4 linked regions of the Macaca fascicularis genome follow. The protein of the gene in region 1 interacts with the protein of each later gene in a pairwise test. Links are inferred from orthologs where the notes say so. Each region holds a gene or a part of one and is shown in the gene's direction. Other genes may lie near its edges. The genes, in order: PNMA1, FBXL18, TNNI1 and ARID5A.

Evidence for each region.
Region 2: the proteins of PNMA1 (region 1) and FBXL18 interact in a two-hybrid assay, tested with the Homo sapiens proteins (2 studies listed by BioGRID). The two-hybrid records come from large-scale screens. The link is inferred for Macaca fascicularis from reciprocal best matches to the Homo sapiens genes PNMA1 and FBXL18.
Region 3: the proteins of PNMA1 (region 1) and TNNI1 interact in binary tests that used the Homo sapiens proteins (3 or more experiments, as listed by UniProt). The two-hybrid records come from large-scale screens. The link is inferred for Macaca fascicularis from reciprocal best matches to the Homo sapiens genes PNMA1 and TNNI1.
Region 4: the proteins of PNMA1 (region 1) and ARID5A interact in binary tests that used the Homo sapiens proteins (3 or more experiments, as listed by UniProt). The two-hybrid records come from large-scale screens. The link is inferred for Macaca fascicularis from reciprocal best matches to the Homo sapiens genes PNMA1 and ARID5A.

What each region holds. Positions count from the first base shown.
Region 1 is NC_088381.1:141,639,274-141,645,181, reverse strand, and holds PNMA1 (paraneoplastic antigen Ma1), read left to right. Parts: upstream 1-2,201; 5' UTR 2,202-2,966; coding exon 2,967-4,028; 3' UTR 4,029-4,826; downstream 4,827-5,908.
Region 2 is NC_088377.1:45,059,425-45,063,733, reverse strand, and holds the end of FBXL18 (F-box/LRR-repeat protein 18), read left to right. Parts: intron 1-1,536; coding exon 1,537-1,693; 3' UTR 1,694-2,886; downstream 2,887-4,309. UniProt on the Homo sapiens protein: Substrate-recognition component of the SCF (SKP1-CUL1-F-box protein)-type E3 ubiquitin ligase complex.
Region 3 is NC_088375.1:59,138,699-59,144,391, reverse strand, and holds the end of TNNI1 (troponin I, slow skeletal muscle), read left to right. Parts: intron 1-1,358; coding exon 1,359-1,535; intron 1,536-2,453; coding exon 2,454-2,561; 3' UTR 2,562-2,563; intron 2,564-3,632; 3' UTR 3,633-4,014; downstream 4,015-5,693. UniProt on the Homo sapiens protein: Troponin I is the inhibitory subunit of troponin, the thin filament regulatory complex which confers calcium-sensitivity to striated muscle actomyosin ATPase activity.
Region 4 is NC_088387.1:1,557,876-1,563,097, forward strand, and holds part of ARID5A (AT-rich interactive domain-containing protein 5A), read left to right. Parts: intron 1-2,022; coding exon 2,023-2,138; intron 2,139-3,957; coding exon 3,958-4,096; intron 4,097-4,382; coding exon 4,383-4,435; intron 4,436-4,800; coding exon 4,801-4,898; intron 4,899-5,186; coding exon 5,187-5,222. UniProt on the Homo sapiens protein: DNA-binding protein that may regulate transcription and act as a repressor by binding to AT-rich stretches in the promoter region of target genes.

The sequences.
Region 1 (5,908 bases):
GAGTAGCTGGGATTACAGGCACACACCACCACACCCAGCTAATATTTTTGTATGTTTTTTTTTTTAGTAGAGACGGGGTTTTGCCATGTTGGACAGGCTGGTCTTGAACTCCTGACCTTAGGTGATCCACTCGCCTCGGCCTCCCAAAGTGCTGGCATTACAGGCGTGAACCACCGCGCCCGGCCGTAAATGTTTAAACAAGAAAGTGATTCTACTCTTCTAAGCTTACAGAGACCAGACCCGGTGAATGTAACTGGGGAAAATCAAGATGGTACCTCTCTGCATTAATCCTGCCAGACACCATATTTTAGGAAGGTCCATGCTCCAGGATGCATTCATGTCTTGGATACAGTGTGAAAATTAAAAAGTTTAGAGGGTAGATGTAATTGTGGCAAGTGACTTGCCAATAAAGTAGGTGCAGCTATAGAAGCTGGCATAGGTATATCCTTAATGGTGCTTTCTCCCTGGGCTTGTCTCTTGTTGTTTTTTTCCCTATATTCAGAGCTCTGAGAAGTGATAAACACCTCCAGCTTTCTTAACATCCTCCCCACACCATCTCACCATATCCATCTCCCAGCATCCATCTGCATTCAGCTAAGGGCGGGAAACTGACCTAGTGCCTGTGCTGCAGACCATTTCTGAGGTCTCCACCCATCCAAGGAGGCAGAGCCATCATTACTGTCCTCCATGCCTTCAGCAGCCCCCCTCACAGCTAAGGTACATACCACCCCTTCTGCCGCGCCCCCTTCCACTCCTGGCACCAAGGTCTTTTGCTGCTTATGTCTAAAGGGATCGCCTATATTTAACTGCCTCAGTGACCTAACCTCTTTCTTCTCATGTGCCAGATGTTAAGATGAAGGAGGAATACAACACATGCTCAAGCCTCAGCTGTTTAGTTGTTTTCACTGGGGCTCGCTTTTCTGGGACGGTATTTATTATCAGACTGGCAAGCCTAACTCCATAGGTTTACAGGAAGTAGGGATATTTTTATAAAACAATTGTGTCCTCCCCACATTTTGCTATGTTAATATTTGCCTCTAACAATTTGCAGCTGTTTCACTTTTTCCTCATTTGTCTCTAAGTTGAAGGCCTTGTTGGAGGGGACAGAGCACAGGAACAGCCTTGACAGTCTGTAATTATTGTACAAATATTTTAATAGCATATAAATAAGTATATTCCTTTTATTTTGAAACAAAAATGATCAGACACTGCCTTTTGTGTGTTTGCTGCCTGTGGCACCCTTTTTGAAAAAGACTGTTACATATTAAAATAGTGTACATACATATAAATATTACCTCTTTTGCTGTACAGTTGTGATAGAGACTGAAGATTTTATTTTTTGTGTGCTTTTTATAAGAAAAAATTAATACACTAAAGAATCTTGCTGATGTGATTGTAATGTACCTATGTAACTTATTTACTTTTGAATGTTCTTCTGTATCTTTAAACCTTTTATTAAATAAGGTTTTAAAAATTCAGAGTTGAATGCTATGTTCTCTCGGGATTTTCACCATCTGGGGTTGATGTAAGTGGGCCTTGTCTTGCTTGCAGGGAGATTACTCGACATTTTTGAGCCATAAGGATTCTCTTTTAGCAGCCTATTGTCGATGCCAGCCAGGAAAAGGAAAATAACACTAATGTTTGCCTGGCTAAAAGATGACTCAGTAGACACAGACAAACAGATGTTTACAAAAGTTTAGACAAGAAAAAGTCTAAACTCAGTATCTCACACAAAAAATGGCGCACTCCGGCTTCATTGGGATAAAATATGCAGGGTGCACAGTGTGGTCAGGGGTAACGGGAAGCCAGGGTTCTGAGGAGAGTATTTTCACGTGCAGGGTGGACTGGCTGGGCAACCCGAGTAGACAAGTCCACCATGAGGGATGCCATGACTTCCAATAGTATCATCTTAAATGCACTCCAGGATTGGGTTATTATTTTTAAAACACGGTGCTTAGCAGTATTTGTTTGCTGTTAAAATGGAAAATTATGAAAAAGGAAATGCGCCATCAGAGAAACAAATGCCCAAGCCCCTCGCTGGCACCATGGCAACCGCTCGACCCCCGCGGGCCGCCGGAGCAGGCGTGATTCGCGCCAGCTGGGGCGCCGTTGCCATGGCGACGCCCGAGCGGCTCCGCCGCGGGGGCGGGACGGGGCGGGGCTGACGCCGCTCGCGGGCTGGCCCCATCCTCCACTGCAGCAGTAACGTCGCAGCGGGTTGCGGGTAGGACTCGACGCTGGGGCAGCCGCGCAGCGCCTGAGCCGCTGCAGGCCGCCGCGGCCGCCGCTGCCCACCCTTGCCTGTGCTGTTTCCAGCCTCGCTTCTCCGGCTTTCCTGCTCCTCTGCTGCCTTCGTTTCTGGTCCTCGGCCGTCCTCGCCGCCCGCCCAGAGGAGTCCCCGCGCCCGCCAAGAGGAGTCCCCACGCCCTCCAAGAAGCCGCTCTCCGCTGGCCCGCAGCCGCCGCGACTTCGGCACAGTCTCTCCCTCTGGCTAGTCTCCCAAACGGCCGCTCCTCGCCCGCGGGAAGACCGGGCTGCGACCGCGAACGCCCGATCCTCTCCAGGAGCCGCAGCGAGCGCCCGGCGGGCACGCCCCGCGACCACACCCCGGCTGCTTTCGACCCAGCGCGCCTGCCTTCGCCGCCCGCCCTCGCTCCTTGCCCGCTGCACGACGACGCGACAGCCCGGCTGCAAGCGGCAGACCCGACCGGACCCGGACCCAGACGCAAGATGGCGACGGCCGCGTGACTTCCTCAGCGTCCCCGAGCTCAGCTCCAAGTGTACCTACGGACTGACTGGGGGGGCAGAGAAGGGCGAGATCAGGACTCTGTGTCTTTGTTAGTCGTGAATGCATGAAGCCTACCTCCCTTGGGCCTATTTGGTGGGAGTGTCTGGTATTGTTCTAAGGCCAGGAGTACGGTGAGCCACAGTCTGTTGGTAGAATTGGCGTCTTGATAGTTGAGAAAATGGCGATGACACTGTTGGAAGACTGGTGCCGGGGGATGGATGTGAACTCCCAGAGAGCTCTGTTGGTCTGGGGCATCCCAGTGAACTGTGATGAGGCTGAAATCGAAGAGACCCTCCAGGCAGCGATGCCCCAGGTCCCCTACCGAATGCTTGGGAGAATGTTCTGGAGGGAAGAAAATGCGAAAGCAGCCTTATTAGAGCTCACTGGCGCTGTCGATTACGCCGCGATCCCCAGGGAGATGCCGGGCAAAGGAGGGGTCTGGAAAGTGTTGTTTAAGCCCCCAACTTCTGATGCTGAATTTTTAGAAAGATTGCACCTCTTCCTAGCTAGAGAGGGGTGGACCGTGCAAGATGTTGCGCGTGTCCTTGGGTTTCAGAACCCTACTCCGACCCCGGGCCCAGAGATGCCAGCAGAGATGCTAAACTATATTTTGGATAATGTTATTCAGCCTCTTGTTGAGTCCATATGGTACAAGAGGCTGACACTTTTCTCGGGGAGGGACATCCCAGGGCCTGGAGAGGAAACCTTTGATCCCTGGCTGGAGCACACTAATGAGGTCCTAGAGGAGTGGCAGGTGTCCGATGTAGAAAAGAGGCGGCGGTTGATGGAGAGCCTTAGAGGCCCTGCCGCTGATGTCATTCGCATCCTCAAGTCCAACAACCCCGCGATAACCACTGCCGAATGCCTGAAGGCGCTTGAGCAGGTGTTTGGGAGCGTTGAGAGCTCTAGGGATGCCCAGATCAAATTTCTGAACACTTATCAGAACCCGGGAGAAAAATTGTCTGCTTATGTCATTCGTCTGGAGCCTCTGCTACAGAAGGTGGTAGAGAAGGGGGCCATTGATAAAGATAACGTGAACCAGGCCCGCCTAGAGCAGGTCATTGCTGGGGCCAACCACAGCGGGGCCATCCGAAGGCAGCTGTGGCTTACCGGGGCTGGGGAAGGGCCGGCCCCAAACCTCTTTCAGTTGCTGGTGCAGATCCGTGAGGAGGAAGCCAAGGAGGAGGAGGAGGAGGCTGAGGCCACCCTTCTGCAGTTAGGCCTGGAAGGGCACTTCTGAGTGCCAGAAAAGACAGCTTTAGTGCAGACCTAGATCACAGCTAGTTTTCTTGTCCCTGTGGGGGTCTTACAGATGTGTCTCTGAGTAGTAAAGGCTTAGCCCTGTTCCGTTTTGTTGTTTTTTTGGAGGGGAAGGTTAGTCAGGCCTGAGTATTCATGTAACATTCTAAAATTGTGCAAGCGAGCACCGTGAGCTGCTACAATGCAAGTGGGTCTTGCTGGCTAAAGTGCCAGGTAAAGGGTTGGTTGGACACAGCGCTTAGTGCACGCTGTCATCATGGACATCATAATCAGTTGTGAAAAACACACGAACCTCTGACACTTCCTATTCCACACTGAATGTGAAATTGCATGTGCAGATGTTTACTACGGGGCCTGGCTCACAGGAAGTGTTCAGTAAAAGTATGAACTATTAGATTACTGATAGCGCAGATAGATTTTTCTTTACCATAAATAGTTCCAGATTTATATTGATGGAAGGAAATGTGCATTTATTAGCTATTACTCAACTTTACAATGCAAACATCATATTTCTCATCTTTAAACATGTCGATCAGTTTAATTGAAAAGTATTCTGAGACTGCAAAATGGGGTGTTAAAAAAATACTGCAATTACGGAGCTGTGTAAACCAGTTTCTCATTGCATAAGATACAGATGTAAATTGCATGGAGAGGTTGATATGCACCTGTACAGTAATTCACTTCCCCATTTCAGATCTTTGTCAGAGAATAGTTCTTGTTCATACTGAGTGTTCTAAATTTGAAGTTATATATACAAATTAAAATATTTTAAAAATTCTGTTGTCTTCTCATTTTTCTGGCATGTATAAACATTTTTAGCCTAAGTAAACTCTGTCCTTTTTTCTTATGAAGACTTTGTCATTAAACCATTTATTTTACTCTTAAGCTTTGTATGATACTATGTGAATTTAAATGGCAAGTCCTTTTTTTTCCTTCCCCTCTTGCTGTCATCTTAACATTTTTTTGGTTTATTTTTTAATTTTTTAAATTTTTTATTTTTATTAAGGGCAGAGAGGGTCTTGCTCTGTTGCCCAGGCTGGAGTGCAATGGAGCGATCTCAGCTCACTGCAACGTCTGCCTCCCGGATTCAAGTGATTCTCCTGCCTCAGCCTCCTGAGTAGCTGGGATTACAGGCATGTGCCACCACACCTAGCTAATTTTGTATTTTTTTTAGTAGAGATGGGTTTCACCACGTTGGTCAGGTTGGTCTGGAACGCCTGACCTCAAGTGATCCACCTGCCTCGGCTTCCCAAAGTGCTGGGATTACAGGCATGAGCCATCTAGTTTTTTCTACTAAAAATACAAAAATTAGCCGGGTGTGGTGGTGGGTGCCTTTAATTCCGGCTACTTGGGAAGCTGAGGCAGGAGAATCACTCTGGGAGGCAGAGGTTGCAGTGAGCCGAGATTGCGCCACTGCACTGCAGCCTGGGCAACAGAGTGAGACTCTTGTCTCAAAAAAAAAAAAAAAATCTAGGCCGGGCGCGGTGGCTCACGCCTGTAATCCCAGCACTTTGGGAGGCCGAGGCGGGCGGATCACAAGGTCAGGATATCGAGACCACGGTGAAACCCCGTCTCTACTAAAAATACAAAAAATTAGCCGGGCGCGGTTGTGGGCGCCTGTAGTCCCAGCTACTCGGGAGGCTGAGGCAGGAGAATGGCGTGAACCCGGGAGGCGGAGCTTGCAGTGAGCCGAGATCGCGCCACTGCACTCCAGCCTGGGCGACAGAGCGAGACTCCGTCTCAAAAAAAAAAAAAAAAAAATTTAGAGACCAGATATGGTGGCTCACACTTGTAATCCCAGCACTTAGGGAGGATTGCCTGAAGCCAAGATTTTGAGACCAGCCTGGGCAACACAGACCC
Region 2 (4,309 bases), on another chromosome or scaffold:
TTTTTGTCTTGCTCTCTGGGGCACTGCTATGTTTTTCCCTCTGCCTGGAGCTCCTGGGCTGACACTTGGGTCTTTGCATTTTCTTTTCTTTCTTTCTTTTTTTTTTTTTTTAGAGACAGGGTCTTACTGTGTTGCCCAGGCTGGAGTACAGTGGTGTGATCATAGCTCACTGCCGCCTCTACCTCCGGGGCTCAAGTGATCCTCCTGCCTCAGCCTCCTGAGTAGCTGAGGTGACAGGCATGCGCCACCATGCCTTACTAATTTTTTAATTTTTTTTTTTTTTTTTTGAGACGGAGTCTCGCTCTGTCACCCAGGCTGGAGTGCAGTGGCCGGATCTCAGCTCACTGCAAGCTCTGCCTCCCGGGTTCACGCCATTCTCCTGCCTCAGCCTCCTGAGTAGCTGGGACTACAGGCGCCTGCCACCTCGCCCGGCTAGTTTTTGTATTTTTAGTAGAGACGGGGTTTCACTGTGTTAGCCAGGATGGTCTCGATCTCCTGACCTCGTGATCCTCCCGTCTCGGCCTCCCAAAGTGCTGGGATTACAGGCTTGAGCCACCGCGCCCGGCCTTTAATATTTTTTATAGAGACAGAGTCTCCCTATGTTGCCCAGGCTGTTCTGGAACTCCTGTCCTCAAACGAGTCTCCCACCTCAGCCTCCCAGGTGTTGGGATTACAGGAGCAAGCCACAGTGCCCGGCTTGCATTGCATTTTGGCCAAATAGGGCCAGTAGGACTGTGCTGGTGACCTGCTCTGACTGGGTGGGGAATCCTTGCTCTGCTTCATGGCCCGCTGGGGGACCGTGGCTCGTTGTAGGGTTGTGGGGAAGGCAAAATGAGGTCATGTCTGTCGAGCTCAGAGCCGTGCCTGGCACTCGGTGGGCACCCCGTGGCAATTGTGCATGAGTTTTCATGCATGCAGGCTGGTCGCCTGGGGGCGGGGGCTTTGGGAGCGTCGCCCACCTGCCATTTGTCATGCAGTCAAACGTGTGCTTTTCCCGAGTAGCCGCTTTGGTATCTGCTCCTCCTAGTGACTGCTGCTGCCTCACTGACTTGGGAGTCGCACCCCCTTGAGGTGGCCCACGTGTGGCTGTGGGGTGTGGACACCTGTCCCTTCTCTCTGTCCTGGCCGTGGGACGTCCATGGGCCAGGTGCCTTGAATTTGCCACTCTTGCAGTGGGGTCCCTCTGCTGCCTTGGAGCACGGCAGCCTGTCCTGGCAGCTCTCCCGCATCTGCAGAGCAGGGTTGGCCTCTGGGGCCTCTGATACTCGTGGCTGGCATGGAGCAGGTGCCCCCTGAACCTGGAGAGAAGCGTGTTGCCTGTTCCCGGCTGCCCTGCTCCTCCTCAGCTCTGGCTGCCACGTACGGGGCCCTCAAGGCGCATAGAGGGTGACTCTCGCAGCAGGCCTGGTCTCTCCGGGAGCCCCAGGTGAGCCCGGGTGGCGGGGGCAGCTGTGAGTGCCTCCTGGGCTCCCCCGGCAGGCTCTGTCCCCTCCGTGGCCACCCACGTAATCCGCTGACCACCTGTCTCTGGTTCAGCTTCCAGGCCGAGCGGCCCGCATTGAACGTCGTCATCTTCCCTCTGCTCCACGAGGGCCTGACCGACGTCATCCGGGACGTCCCTCTGGTGCACCTGGATGAGATCACCTTATTTAAGAGCAGAGTGGCCGAGGAACCGCCGAACCTGTGGTGGTGAGAGGCCAAGCCGCCGCCCATCGGTCTGAGTCACCTCAAGACGCTGTAGGAGCCTGGGACACCAGGGACCCTTGGTTTGTTACAAGAGGAAGAGGGCCTCTCTCCCGGCCGGCCACGCCCCACCTGGCTCCTGGGGCTCTTGGCATCTCTGCGGCTCTCTCATGGGAACTGTTGCTCTGTGAAGTTTGGGTTGAGGGGATGTGCTCTGGTTGACATGAGGGGGGTCAGGGGACCGTCGATGTGGAGGCTGGCTGAAACAGGCTGACCCTTGGGGCCTGGCTTGGGGGTTTGTACACTGAGCCTCAATACCTGGGGGCCCTGTCGATGGGCCTGGAGGACCGGAACTCCGTGCCATTCTGACTGGGAAGCGTGTCCCTTGGCTGTCGTGTTTGTGGTCACCTGCCACCAGGGCCCCACGGATGGGCGGCCACATGCTGTCCCCCTGAAGTCCAGTCGGCCAGGCTGGTCACCGTGTGTCTGAGTGTCCCCTTGCGTGGCCGAGTGTGACATGGGGAAGGGCTTGCCGGTTTAGGCTGCGGACTTAGGACTCTCCGTCCCATTAGAACACACTTGAGCCCACTCATGTCTCTGGGACTTTTCTAGCCCGATGATGCCTGTGGCCCCAGAGAGGTCCCCTGGGGTTGGGACTGCTGGTTGGAGCCTCTCCTATGGCTTTTCAGCCCAATGAGCAGGGCCTGCTTCTCATGAGAGAGGTCTCCTCCTGCTCCCACCCACCCCACAGCCTTCAGCTTCCCTGGGAAGGTCCATGTGCATTCCTGGGGAAATAGATACACATTCGGCTTTGTTAGAATAACGTGCAACATTAAAACCCAGAAAGGATTCATAAGGCTGGAGTAGCAATCATAGGACCCCATTTCGAATGACTTTATTTAAGACTTTAAAAATACTCAGCTGGGCACGGTGGCTCACGCCTGTAATCTCAGCACTTTGGGAGGTCGAGACGGGTGGATCACAAGGTCAGGAGTTCAAGACCACCCTGGCCAACATGGTGAAACCCCATCTCTACTAAAAATACACAAATTAGCTGGGCGTGGTGGTGGGTGCCTGTAATCCCAGCTACTCGGGAGGCTGAGGCAGGAGAATCATTTGAACCTGGGAGACGGAGGTTGCGGTGAGCTGAGATCACGCCACTGCACTCCAGCCTGGGCGACAGGGCAAGACTCCATCTCAAAATACATATATATATATGTATATGTGTGTGTGTGTATATATATATATATAGTACATTTTGGGAGGATCACTTGACCCGAGGAGTTTGAGACCAGCCTGGGCAACACAGGGATACCCCATCTCTTAAAGAGAAAAAAATTAAAGCTGTTCCAAAAATGAGGACACCTTCCCAGCGTCCGAGGCCCAACCCCATGTGCCACGCTGGTCACCTCTGCCGCCTTCCACCTCCAGGCGCTCCTAGAGCTGTCCCTGGGCTGGTGGCTTCTGAGGGGGGCTGTAGTTGGGTCCTGCTCGCCTGGACCGCCACCTTGGCCGCTCTTGGTGAAGGGCCCCTTGCCCAGCCTGCCGTCATCCTCCTGGGTTTCCATGTGACAGGTCCACCGTCCTGTGGGGCGGTGTCTCACATTTGCCTTGCTGTTAAAAAATGGGGGACACTGTCCCCGGGCCTCTGATCACCGGCCCTGCCCTTGGGCGGGGATGGTTCTCAGCAGCTCCTTGTCCCAGAGGCCTTTGGAGAACTGGGGTCAGAGCTGTAGGGAGGGACAGCCCTCCTGTGCAGGCTGCCTCCCAGCTCTCCACATGGCAGTCTTGGCACTGCCCTGGCGCCTCTGCTCACTGGCACAGGCGGATCTGGGGTTCGAGGTCTCCTCCCACTTCACCCTGACTTTCTTTCTTGTATGTATGGGGTCAACGCCTCCTCTCTGAAGCCCACGGGTCCTCTCCCAGCCCCAGGCTGCACCCAGTGCAGAACCTTTGCCTCCTGGCTGGAGAGGCCGGTCCGCAGGCTGATTTCAGCAGAGCCTGGTGGTGGGACCAGCACCAGACCACACCTTTGCCTCCCAGAGGCCTTCTGGCCCTCCTGTCATGGCCTCTGAGAGCCATACCCCTCGGCCCCGTCTCCTGACCTGCAGGCCGCAGGACCAGCTGCCCACGGCCCACACACACGCTTCCTGGGCGTTTCTTTAGAGCTTTAAAATGGTACCTGGAGACCACCAGGCGCAGTGATCAGATCCGGTGGTGTGGTACCTCCCAGTACTGACCACTTCTTGCTCTCAGACTGAGGTGTGGCAGGCAGGGGATGTGGCCCAGGAGGGAGGCAGGTGGCCTGGGAGTCTCCCGGACCCTCAGTGAGCCTGTGTCTCTGGGCGCTGCAGCTCTGCGCCCCTCTCCTTTCTTCCAGAACATTCCCCACTGGGGCCAGAGAATTGCGTTTGCACCAGGAATGCATCCTAGCGTGTGTATGATCATGCTTGGGTGTCCTGTTCTCATGAGCAAGCGGTTTTAACCAGCAGCATAATTTATACTCATAGACAGGACTGGGGGAAGGGCCGTTCCCGAGGCTGGGGTATAGTGCCTTGGAAAGCACCCCCGAAACAGTGGACCTTGTATTTTTAGTGTCCCCTGCAACCATCCTTTGACTTGGAGC
Region 3 (5,693 bases), on another chromosome or scaffold:
GCCCCATAGGGCTGGAGATCTGGAGATGGGCAGAGTGGATAATCACACATGAAAAGTACAAACTTCCTCCCTACCTGCCATGTGGGCTCATCAGCCTAACAGAAGCCACTCTCTTTATCCACCCACACAAATAATCATATGCCTGTTAATAACGTCTTACCTTTGTGAAGTGCTTTCATGTGTGTTGTAGCCTTTGATCCTCCCTATAGGCCTGTGGATGAAGTAGGGGCTATTTGCACCTTGCAGAGGAGAACACTCAGGATCAGAGAGGCCAAGGACTTGTCCTAGGTTGCACAGTGGTGGTCCTGGGACCAGTGCTGGTCTCTGGCTCCCACTTCGGTACTCTGTGCTCCCTTAGCATGGAGTGTGGGAGGATTAACTCCATCCAGACCCTGCTCCAGTGGGGTGGGGCAGAACAGGGAAGGACAGGGCTCCTTTGGGTCATTTGTCCAAGCAGTGAGGAGGGGGCAGGGAGGTAGCACAAGTCACTTCCCTCCTTCCCACTTCTGCCCACCGGGAATGATATGTGGGGTCACCAAGCTCCTAAGAATTCCCTCTAGAGATCACACCCTGGAAATTCCTCCAGGGGTCTAGGACCTGGAAGTTTATCACCCTGCTGGACCAAGGCTGTGAGCTGCTTTGAAGGCTCACTGGGGAGGAATAAGTTAGAAGCAGGGATGAGGCTACAGGAACAAAAGGAAGCAACCCTGCACTCCAAATAGGGCTTCCAAACCAGACAAGTCTCAGTCTGGTGGAGCTACCCCTTTTATTCAAGGTTACAGTATTAGCAATGGCCAATAGGCTTTATCTATCTGATTAACTATCCATTTATCAGCAAATGTACAGTGGCTATTTGCAAAGGGGTGGGTGGGTCTGACTGTCCTAGAGCAGGGTCTCCAACTCTTGGGCTGTGGACCAGTACTAATCCGTGGCCTGTTAGGAACTGGGCTGCACAGCAGGAGGTGAGCAGTGGGTGAGTGAGCATTCCCACCCGAGCTCTGCCTCCTGTCAGATCAGCAGTGGCATTAGATTCTCACAGGAGTGTGAACCCTATTGTGAACTGTGCACGCGAGGAATCTAGGTTGCACACTCCTTATGAGAATCAAACTCATGCCTGATGGTCTGAGGTGGAACAGTTTCATCCTGAAACCACCCCACCACCTCTCCGTGGAAAAAGCGTCTTCCACAAAACCAGTCCCTGGTGACGAAAAGGCTGGTGACTGCTGATAGGTCTGGCTTCAAGGGTGGACAAATTAAGGTGTATCTCTGGCTGGAACCCTAGCAATCTGAGGTCCTTAGGAAGGGTGCCCTGTGGCTAGCTCCCTCTCCAGTGAGCCCCGGGCGCTTCTCACCTGCAGATTAAGGACCTGAAGCTGAAGGTGATGGACCTCCGTGGGAAGTTCAAGCGCCCGCCCCTGCGTCGGGTCCGTGTCTCGGCTGACGCCATGCTCCGGGCCCTGCTGGGTTCCAAGCACAAGGTGTCCATGGATCTGCGGGCCAACCTCAAGTCTGTGAAGAAGGAAGACACAGAGAAGGTGAGGTCCCTTTCCTCAGAACCTTCCACCCTCTTCCCTACCAGCTTTCCCCTTGTCAACCCCTCACATGGCCTCAGGCAGGCCCAGGAGCTCCTGTTGGAGGCCAGTCAGCTTGACAGAGAGAATGTTCTAGAATGTTTTGGAAGACCAGTGTGGGAAGAAAGAAAGAAGACTTGCTCCCTTTCTTCAGGCTGTTCCCAGTCTGATGAAGAAACTAGGACATAAAGAAAGCTAGACCCCAGACTGAGACATGAAGCAAAAATCTTGTTCCCAGTGTGAAGAGAACATGGAGATATAGGGTAATGTTGGAGGTGACTGCCTGGTCACCACAGGGAAAGGAGACAGCAGCTCATCTTGGTGATAGCCACACATGAGCACAGACGTTAGAGAACTGAGTTCAACCACCCAGCAACAAATTATTCAAAGTTGGTTGAACTCACAGTATATGTGCCCCAAATTGATAGGCTCTGTAAGGAACAGGGATGACAGGAACATAGTCTCTGGCCCAAGAAGCTTCAGAGGACAAGAGATAAGCCAGGCAGTATACTGAGGAAATGGAAAAGCAGTCACATTCGCAGGGGAAGGCTTCTTGGAAGAGGTGGCCTTGAGCCTGCAGAGTGCCAGACCAGGAGGGTGGCATGGGGCCTGGGAGGAGGTTTTGCTCAGGTGCATTGAGGTGGGAACTAGCCCCGTAGCTGCCACTATCACCCAGTGCTCCCAAGCCACACAGCTTCCTGTGGGGCCTCGGCTTGGCCCGTGTCCACCTGCCTGGCTGAGTCCTAGGACTTAAACAGCTGGGGAGGGGCATTGGGATTTCTTATCATCTGAGGAGACTGGTTTTCTATCACCCAACTTCTCTTGAGCTGGGGGGGGCATCCAGCCTGGTAAGTCCCTGATGTGTGTGCCACTTGTCCACAGGAGCGGCCTGTGGAGGTGGGTGACTGGAGGAAGAATGTGGAGGCCATGTCTGGCATGGAAGGCCGGAAGAAGATGTTTGATGCTGCCAAGTCTCCGACCTCACAATAGAGGTACCTAGAGATCAGCTCCCTTCTCTGGGGTCCATCAGAGTCTAGAGGATAATGAGGGAGTCCACGATGGGCAGGCAGGTTGTACTCAGTGTGGTGCAGGGACAAAGGCACTGATGAGACTGATTTGAGTCGGCTCTCCTGGGCTCAGTCCTGGCTCCAGCACCGTGATACCTTGGGCATGTCATTTCTGTTTGGGGGCCCTTTTTGTTCCCCTCCTCTATGAAATTGGGGGCTGTGTTAAATCAGTGGTTCTCCAGGTGTGGTCCCGGGACCAGCAGCATCTACATCACCTGGGATGCAAATGATCACCCCCCACCCCAGGTCCACTAAATTGGAAACTCTGGGGTGAGACCAGCCTTCCAGGTGATTCTGATGCACATGGAGAGTTTCAGAACCACTAGGTTAGAGGATCCCTGGGGTCCCTTCATCTCTGACTTTCTGAGAATCTATGCTCTTTTAAATACCTCCTGGTGATGTCCTTTATTTGTGCTCCCTGCGAAGTACCCAGCACTCACAGTACCTGTTCCCAAGGAGCTACCACTCAGAGAAGCTAACACTTCCCACTCTCTGAGGAAAAAGCTGGAGAAACTGGGCCAAGCAAGGAAATCAGGCCACATAAAACCGTCTGTGGAAGTGCTGAGAGAATGTGCAATAGGGCAGGCATCCACCAGATAGCACTGGTCGGAGCAGGCTTTCTGGAGAGGAGGAGTTCTCTGAGGACGTGATGGGCAAGTGTTAGCTGATAACGGGAAGGGCACGTTAAAGGGCTGATGGTGCAACAGAAGCATGGAGGTGGGAATTAACCACCCACAGAGTAGCATGGCAAGGCCAGGTAAGAGCTGAGGGCCGCAGTGCGGAGGAGCAGTGTGAGGGGTCCCAAAAGGGGAGAAACTGTGCCTGTGGGCTGAGAAGCTGAGGTCTTGTAGGAGCCCCTATGAATGAAGATCCAGCCAGGGGTGCGCTAGGGGTGAGAAGCCCTGGAGACTGCATGTGCTGTAGGTAAGTCAGGGATTCATGCACTGCACACAGGTCCCCGGGAACTGATGGCTTCGCCTCTTTGTCCCTACAGGCCAGCTTGCTGTGCTGCGCTCTGAGCTCCTGCTTCATGCTTCTTCTCCAACCCAGCTCACTCACTTCTCTGCCCGTGTCTGGAGCATCCCTTCCCACCTCCCCCCTCACTTCTTCCCTCCAGCCTGCATGCCCTCCTCTGGAACTGGGATTAAAGAGATATCCAAGAGGCAGGACAAACGAGAGTGTCTGAAGACCTCACCCCAGCAGGGTGGGCTCCCACCCATCCATGAGGCACTTGGGGCTTCCCAGCTACCCTGTGGTGTAACAGGTGAAGGACGAGGAGGGAGTGAGAGCACCTTTCCTCTAGCCCTGTGCCACACCCCTTCTATGTGTGTACAGTGTCCACAGCCATCTTCATTAAAAACCCAGTTTCCTGGTCATTTCTGCAGCTCTGACTGTGAGCACGGAGAAGAAAGGGAAGACTTGGGGCTTGTGAAGAGAGGGCTGTGCTGGGCTCCAGTCAGCCTGTCTGCAGTCCACAGTCCAGGATCTGAAGGGAGGGCTAAGGAATTGGTGGCTGCTTGCCAGGGTCCCCTGGGGCCCCTTCTGCCGAGTCCCTGTGATGTCACACAGCACACACTCACCACCCAGGATGCTCAGCTCACCAGAGCCCTGATCTCCGAGAACTGACCCCGTCCTGCCCCTGACTCTGGCCATCAGAAGAGGCTTCTCCATTCAGAGCCGCTTCTCCTGCCGGATTTCATACTCTCCTTCCTCTGCAAAGCTAGATTAACTCTCCCTGATGTCTGCTGGGTGTACCTGACTGCTCCGGGCTGAGAGGTCAGGGCACTTTCAATCCCTCACCTAGTCCAGCTGCACAGGGCAGGAGGCCTCACAGAAGAGATACTTGCAGTTCCAGGCCTGGCCACCAGGTGACTCCTTCCTTCTGTCCTGGGCACTCCTGTCCCTCCCGCCTCTGCTCTCCCCACTTTCACTCACCCTCCTCCCAATTGTTTCCCCTTCACACTCCTGTACTGGTCCTATCCCCCAGGACTGATTCTTTCCCGGAGGGGGGGGCGGCCACTTATCTGTCCTCTGGCTCAGGTCCTTTCTCCATCCCACTCACTTCTGGGTCCAAACCCTGGTGAGGGCATAGGGCATGCTGGGGTGGAGTGGGGGTCTGGGGCAGCCCCTCTTCCCCCATCATACTTGTGAGAGAGGCTCCTGTGAAGCAGAGAGCAAAGTTCTGATTTTCCTTTTTTTCTTTTTTCTTTTTTTGAGATGGAGTCTCGCTCTGTCACCCAGACTGGAGTGCAGTGACATGATCTCGACTCACTGCAACCTCCGCCTCCCAGGTTCAAGCGATTCTCCTGCCTCAACCTCCTGAGTAGCTGGGATTACAGGTGTGTGCCACCACACCCGGCTAATTTTTGTATTTTTAATAGAGACAGGGTTTCACCATGTTGGTCAGGCTGGTCTTGAACTCCTGAACTCGTGATCCGCCCACCTTGGCCTCCCAAAGTACTGGGATTACAGGCGTGAGCCACCGTGTCTGGTCAAGTTCTGACTTTTCAGGGCAGTGGGATAGTGACTTCTAAGCTAAGCCTGCAAGGGAAGTGGCTGGTCCCAAATCTAGGGTTCCTTGGCTTTTTGACCACCGCAGCACTGGCCCCAGGAGGGGCTGAGTTATCAGAGCAGTAATCCTTCCACCCACCCTACTGAGTCCCCATTCTGCCCTCAAATCCCATGTATTATCTGCCATAAATGCCAGGAATTGGTACAAAGTGCAGTGCCAGCTACTCCCTGGGGCATGGTCTGGCTCCGTGGGCTGCTGGCCTGCCAGCCCCTTTCAGAAAACATGGCAGTGGGAACCAGCAACTTGGGCTACCTTAGGGGAAGCAGCAATCTGCCCAGGGTTCTTGCTATAAATAGGTCAGTGGGCAGAGAGGCAGATGTGTGCAAAAAGCACAACCCCAATCACACACACAAACCTGTAGGCACAGACACACCCAGTCTCAATGCATGAAGTTGGAGAACCTGACAGGGCTGGTCCAGGCCACAGAGGATGGGGTTAGGCTTCATGCCTTCATGCCCAGGCGGCCACAGAAACCCACTCTTC
Region 4 (5,222 bases), on another chromosome or scaffold:
CACATGCATGTCATGGAAAAATCTTTCACGAAAGGAAGAGTTGCCAGGCACAGCGGCTCACGCCTGTAATCCCAGCACTTTGGGAGGCCGAGGCGGATGGATCATGAGGTCAGGAGTTTGAGACCAGCCTGGCCAATATGGTGAAACCCCGTCTCTACTAAAAATACAAAAATTAGCTGGGCGTGGAGGCGGGCGCCTGTAGTTCCAGCTACTCAGGAGGCTGAGGCAGAAGAATCACTTGAACCCGGGAGGCAGAGATTGCAGTGAACCAAGATCATACCACTGTACTCCAGCCTGGGGGACAGAGCGAGATTCTGTCTCAAAAAAAAAAAAAAAAAAAAAAAAAAAAAGGAAGAGTTAATGGATGTGGCAAACTTCATTGTTGTCTTCTTTTAAGAAATTGCCACAGTCACCCCAGCCTGAGAAACCACCACCTTGAGATCCCTCAGCAGCCATCGACATGGAGGCAAGACATAAGAACACCTACCAAAGCAGGACCACTTTGGGCCACCCTCTTGGGCTAGCTTCTGATACACCCGTCTCCAGAAATCCTGGGTACTAACAAGTGACCCACCGGCCTGATGCCTTTCCAGCGCTTCTGACACACCCGTGTCCAGAAATCCTGGGTACTAACACGTGACCCACCAGCCTGATGCCTTTCCAGCCAAGTCCGCTGTGACTTTGTGCCTCAGTCTTCCCTGCTGTGAAATGGGAGAGGAAGATCCTAGCGTTCTTTGCTAGCCAAGGATTCTACCCCATGCCTCTGAGTACCACTGGCCCCTGGCTTATGCTGCTTTGGGTTTCTTGTTCCCGAGGAGATTCTTTTTCTGTCTGGGATGGAAGGGAAATCTCATAGGTTCCTAACAAAAAGGATGTCCTGGGAGGGAGTGAACCAATTCATACTTGATTAACAAAAGGACAAAGGACAGAAAGAAAAGGTTGTCAGAAGCCGTGGGTTCCTGGTCTGGTGTCTGCTGCCAGCCTGCGGTGTGGCCCGAGGCAGTTTCCAATGGTTGTGGTTTTTGCAGTGGCAGAGGTGTTGCGTTTTTGCAGCCATCGGCACATGGTGGTTCTTAGTAAAATACAGCCCACAGCTTCTCCGGCCCACGACGCAGGGTTGTCGTGAGCCTTGCTCATTCCAGCTTGGCACCTGCTGTGTGGGGTACAGGCAGCCTCACCGAGCTACCAGGGAGCCCCAGGAGCCACCGGCAGTTCAGCCAGGATGGCTGTGAGTAGCCAAGGGCGACGGAGGAGCTGCCCATGGCCAGGGGCCGGAGGAGGCCACCCAGAGGAAGGCACTTGTCACAGAGACCTGAGGGGTCACCAGGACCCTTGCAGGTGAGGGGAGCATGTGGCCTAATTAGGGCAGTTAGAACTCTGCAGATGCTCGGGAAGGTCAGATGTTCCCGAATATTCTCAGGGGAACTACTACCAAAGGACCCCATGTGTTGCTTTGGGACCACAGCCATGGGATCCTTTAGCTCTCTAGTGAGACTGAGCTGCTTCTCAATTGTGTCTCAGCATGGGGCAGATTTTGGAGACAGGATTTCCCCAAGCGCCATAGCCCAACCCCGGCCTCCTGTGACTTGACCTCAAGGTGGTTTTGCGTTTCCTTCAAAGATGTGGGGAGATAGCTGGAGCAGAGGAAAGAAAAGGGGCAGGTGTGGAACAGATGCAGTGGGTTGTGGGGGAGTGGGGAGGAGGGTCTCTGTGTGTGTGTGTGTGTGTGTGTGTAGCCTGTGTGCAGCCAGGGACACACCCCTTCCCCCTGGCCAATTCTTTTTTTTTTTTTTTAATGATAGAGACGGGATCTCACTATGTTGGCCAGACAGGTCTCGAACTCCTGATATCAGGTGATCGCCTGCCTGGGCCTCCCAAAGTGCTGGGATCACAGGAGTGAGATCACAGTCACCGGCGCCCTGTGACGACTCTCACTGGGGATGGGGAGACTGCTCCTGTTCCTCCTGCTTGCATCTGAGGTGTTCTCTCCCCACCCCTTCTTCCTTCCCTCTCTCCTTGCAGCAGCTCCTGTCAAAGGGAACAGGAAGCAGTCCGCAGAGGGTGACATCCTAGATCCACCTGCATCCCCCAAACCTGTTGGCGAGCAGAACGGGAGCCAGAACCCCATCCCACTGGAGGTGAGTCGAGTCCCTCTGCTGACTCCCTGGGCGTTCTTCCCTGCCACCCTCACCCGTGTTCAGCCTCCAGGTGAACCTGGACACTCCCCAAGCTCTCAGGAGGCAGATATGTTCCTACCCTGGCCCTGTCCAGCAGCCAGGGGACTGACTTGTCTTCTGTGCCAGAGAGTTATTGAAACCAAGATTGACTTGGTTTTTGTAGCAGACCCCTTTTTTCAAGTGAAGATGACCCACCACCCTGATCCATAAAACAGACAAAAGCTCCAGCCCGTGATGCAAAACCACATTCACATCCATTCATCCAGGTGCATAACATGGGCATATAAAGTCACTCGGTGAGACCAACAGGGCTGTTGCGATAAGCAGAGTCTGAAGGGGGCGCTGCAGGCAGCTTTTTCGGAGCACAGTTGGCCCCGGCTTTCATTCATTTTGGCCATTTGCTTTGGTGGCACAGTCTGGAAAAGTATCCAGATTCATGCAGAAAAGTGTTTGCAAATGGTAGTTGTCTTTAGCAGCTTGCTGGAAATTCAGAGTAGAGGCCTGGAGGAGCAGATTGACTTGAGCAGCTATGAGAGAGCCTTCCTTCTGAGGTCTGCACAGACCAGCCCCAGGGCCCCGGCATGTTACGATTTCATGGGTGATATATGAGTTCATATGTTGTTTCTTCTCAGAGGTCTTTAATACCTTAAAAACACTGAACTATTACAGAAGCTATTTACAACAAACAAAAAAAGTAACACTGAAATAAACTTGAATCAATTTTTTTTTTTTTTAGGCAGAGTCTCACTGTTACCCAGGCTGGAGGGCAGTAGCACAATCTTGGCTCACTGCAACCTCCACCTCCTGGGTTCAAACGATTCTTCTGCCTCAGCCTCCCGAGTAGCTGTGATTACAGGCATGCACTACCAGGCGTGGCTAATTTTTGTATTTTTAGTAGAGATGGGCTTTCCCCATGTTGGCCAGACTGGTCTCGAACTCCTGACCTCGGGTGATCTGCCCACCTCGGCTTCCCAAAGTGCTAGGATTACCGGCGTGAGCCACCATGCCCAGCTGGATCAAATATTTTGGGAACACATGGCTGTCTGCACTATCCTAGTCTAGATGGTTTATGTCCTGGAAGCTGTCTGTTCTCTGACAGGGTGTAGGCCCTGGGCTCTCTGCCCTGAGCCACTTGCTGGATGAAGGCATCAGCGGAGATTGTCCCTCTGGGACCCGCAACCCAAAGTCCTGTGCCCCTGGCAGCAGTGTGCAGTTGAAGCCAGAGCTTCATCTCCCTGTGCTCAGTACGGCAGGCCGGGGCCACACAGAGGCTCGGGGAACGTGGGCCTGACAGAGCAACCCACGGCACCGGAAAGCACCAGGCACCTTTGTTCCTTCAGCTTTTCCCTCGGCATTGGGGGTAGGGGGGAGGGCGGCGGGGAGTCCCAGGGACACTGAGCCTGCCCTCCAGGAGCTCCTAGTCTGGCAGAGGAGCTGACACAAATATGACAAATCAAGAACAAGACAGAGAAGTGATCCTGGCCTGGAGAAGGCCGGGGACTGCTCTTGTGGCCACCTCTGGAGGCAGCTGCTCTGGGGTGCCCAGCCTCTGGGGGGGGCCCTGAGCTCTAGCCCCTGCCCTAGGGCACTGAGGGCTGATACCTGTGCCAGCCGAACCCATGAACAGTCACTCCCTCCCAGAACAGTGGCCAGGTGCTCTCTGGGAAACTGGGGTTGGGGGCAAGGTACCTTATTCCTCCTGCAGCCAGTGGTTTCTGCACGTCCCCAGCAGCCAGCCACCAACTGGGGCCCATCCCAATGCCTCCTGTTCTCTCCCCAGGACTCCCCCGAGGCAGGCGGGGAGCGGGAGGAGGAGCAGGAGCGGGAGGAGGAGCAGGCCTTCCTGGTCAGCCTCTACAAGTTCATGAAGGAGCGACACACGCCCATCGAGAGGGTGCCCCATCTCGGCTTCAAGCAGAGTGCGTCCCTGGGGTGCAGGCAGGGAGGGGGGCCCAGCAGGGAACCCCACCCAGGCAGGGCATCGGGCAGGCACTCCCACTCTGGGTGACCCAGGTTGCAGATAGAAAGGAGGCCTCCCTCCAGGCTGCCACCGGGCCAGCAGTGCACAGGCCACAGCCTGCCCATCTACTGCAGTGGCCCTGCCTGGGTGTGTGCTGCTCTGTGCCTGCGTGTCAGGGCACTAGGAAGGGGTGGCTGCCCCACCTCCCACGGAGGCTGACGGCCAGCCTGCCCCTCTCTCCCCAGTTAACCTGTGGAAGATCTACAAGGCAGTGGAGAAGCTGGGGGCCTATGAGCTGGTAAGGAAGGCACCCCCAGTCCTTGCCAGACTACATCTCCCTGGGGTGAGCCTGCAACGCTGTCCTTGCCTCTGGACAGGAGAAGAGCCAGGATCCCCAGTCCTGCCTTCCTCCCCGCCTCCCCCGCTGGTTCTCTGCTGCTCAAAGCAGCTTTTCAGCCTTCCCCATCTGTTCTGCCCGCCCCGTGTTGGAAAAACTGCTTGGGCCAGCAGTCCGTGGCCCTGGGAGGGAGAATCAGCCGCTGTCGGAGCCGCAGAGCAGCTGCCAAACCGCAGTGCTTTGGTCCCTGCGAGGGCGGCCAGAGCCGCAAGGACCCCGCCGCCAGGGGGCGCTCGCGGCCGCGCCCTCACCAGGTGCCCTTGCAGGTGACCGGGCGCCGCCTCTGGAAGAACGTGTACGACGAGCTGGGGGGCAGCCCGGGCAGCACCAGCGCGGCCACGTGCACGCGCCGCCACTACGAGAGGTAGGGGGGCGGGCCCGGGTGCTGGACGCCGCCTGCCCTGCGGGGCTCGGTCGACCTTGCTGGGAGGGCTGGGTGGACTCTGTCCGGAGCGGGCGGGGTGGGCGCCGTCCTCAGCGCTGCGGGGGCCCAGGCTGGCTGGGCGCAGACACCGAGGGAGCTGAGCTTTGGGGCGAGGAGGAGAGGGTCTTCTTCGGCGCCGGCGGGAAAGAGGGGCTCAGAGGAGGCCACAGAGGCCGGTGGAGGGGATGGGCGCCGACCTCCTGGGGGACATGCCCGGTTCCTCCCCAGGCTGGTCCTGCCATATGTGCGGCACCTGAAGGGGGA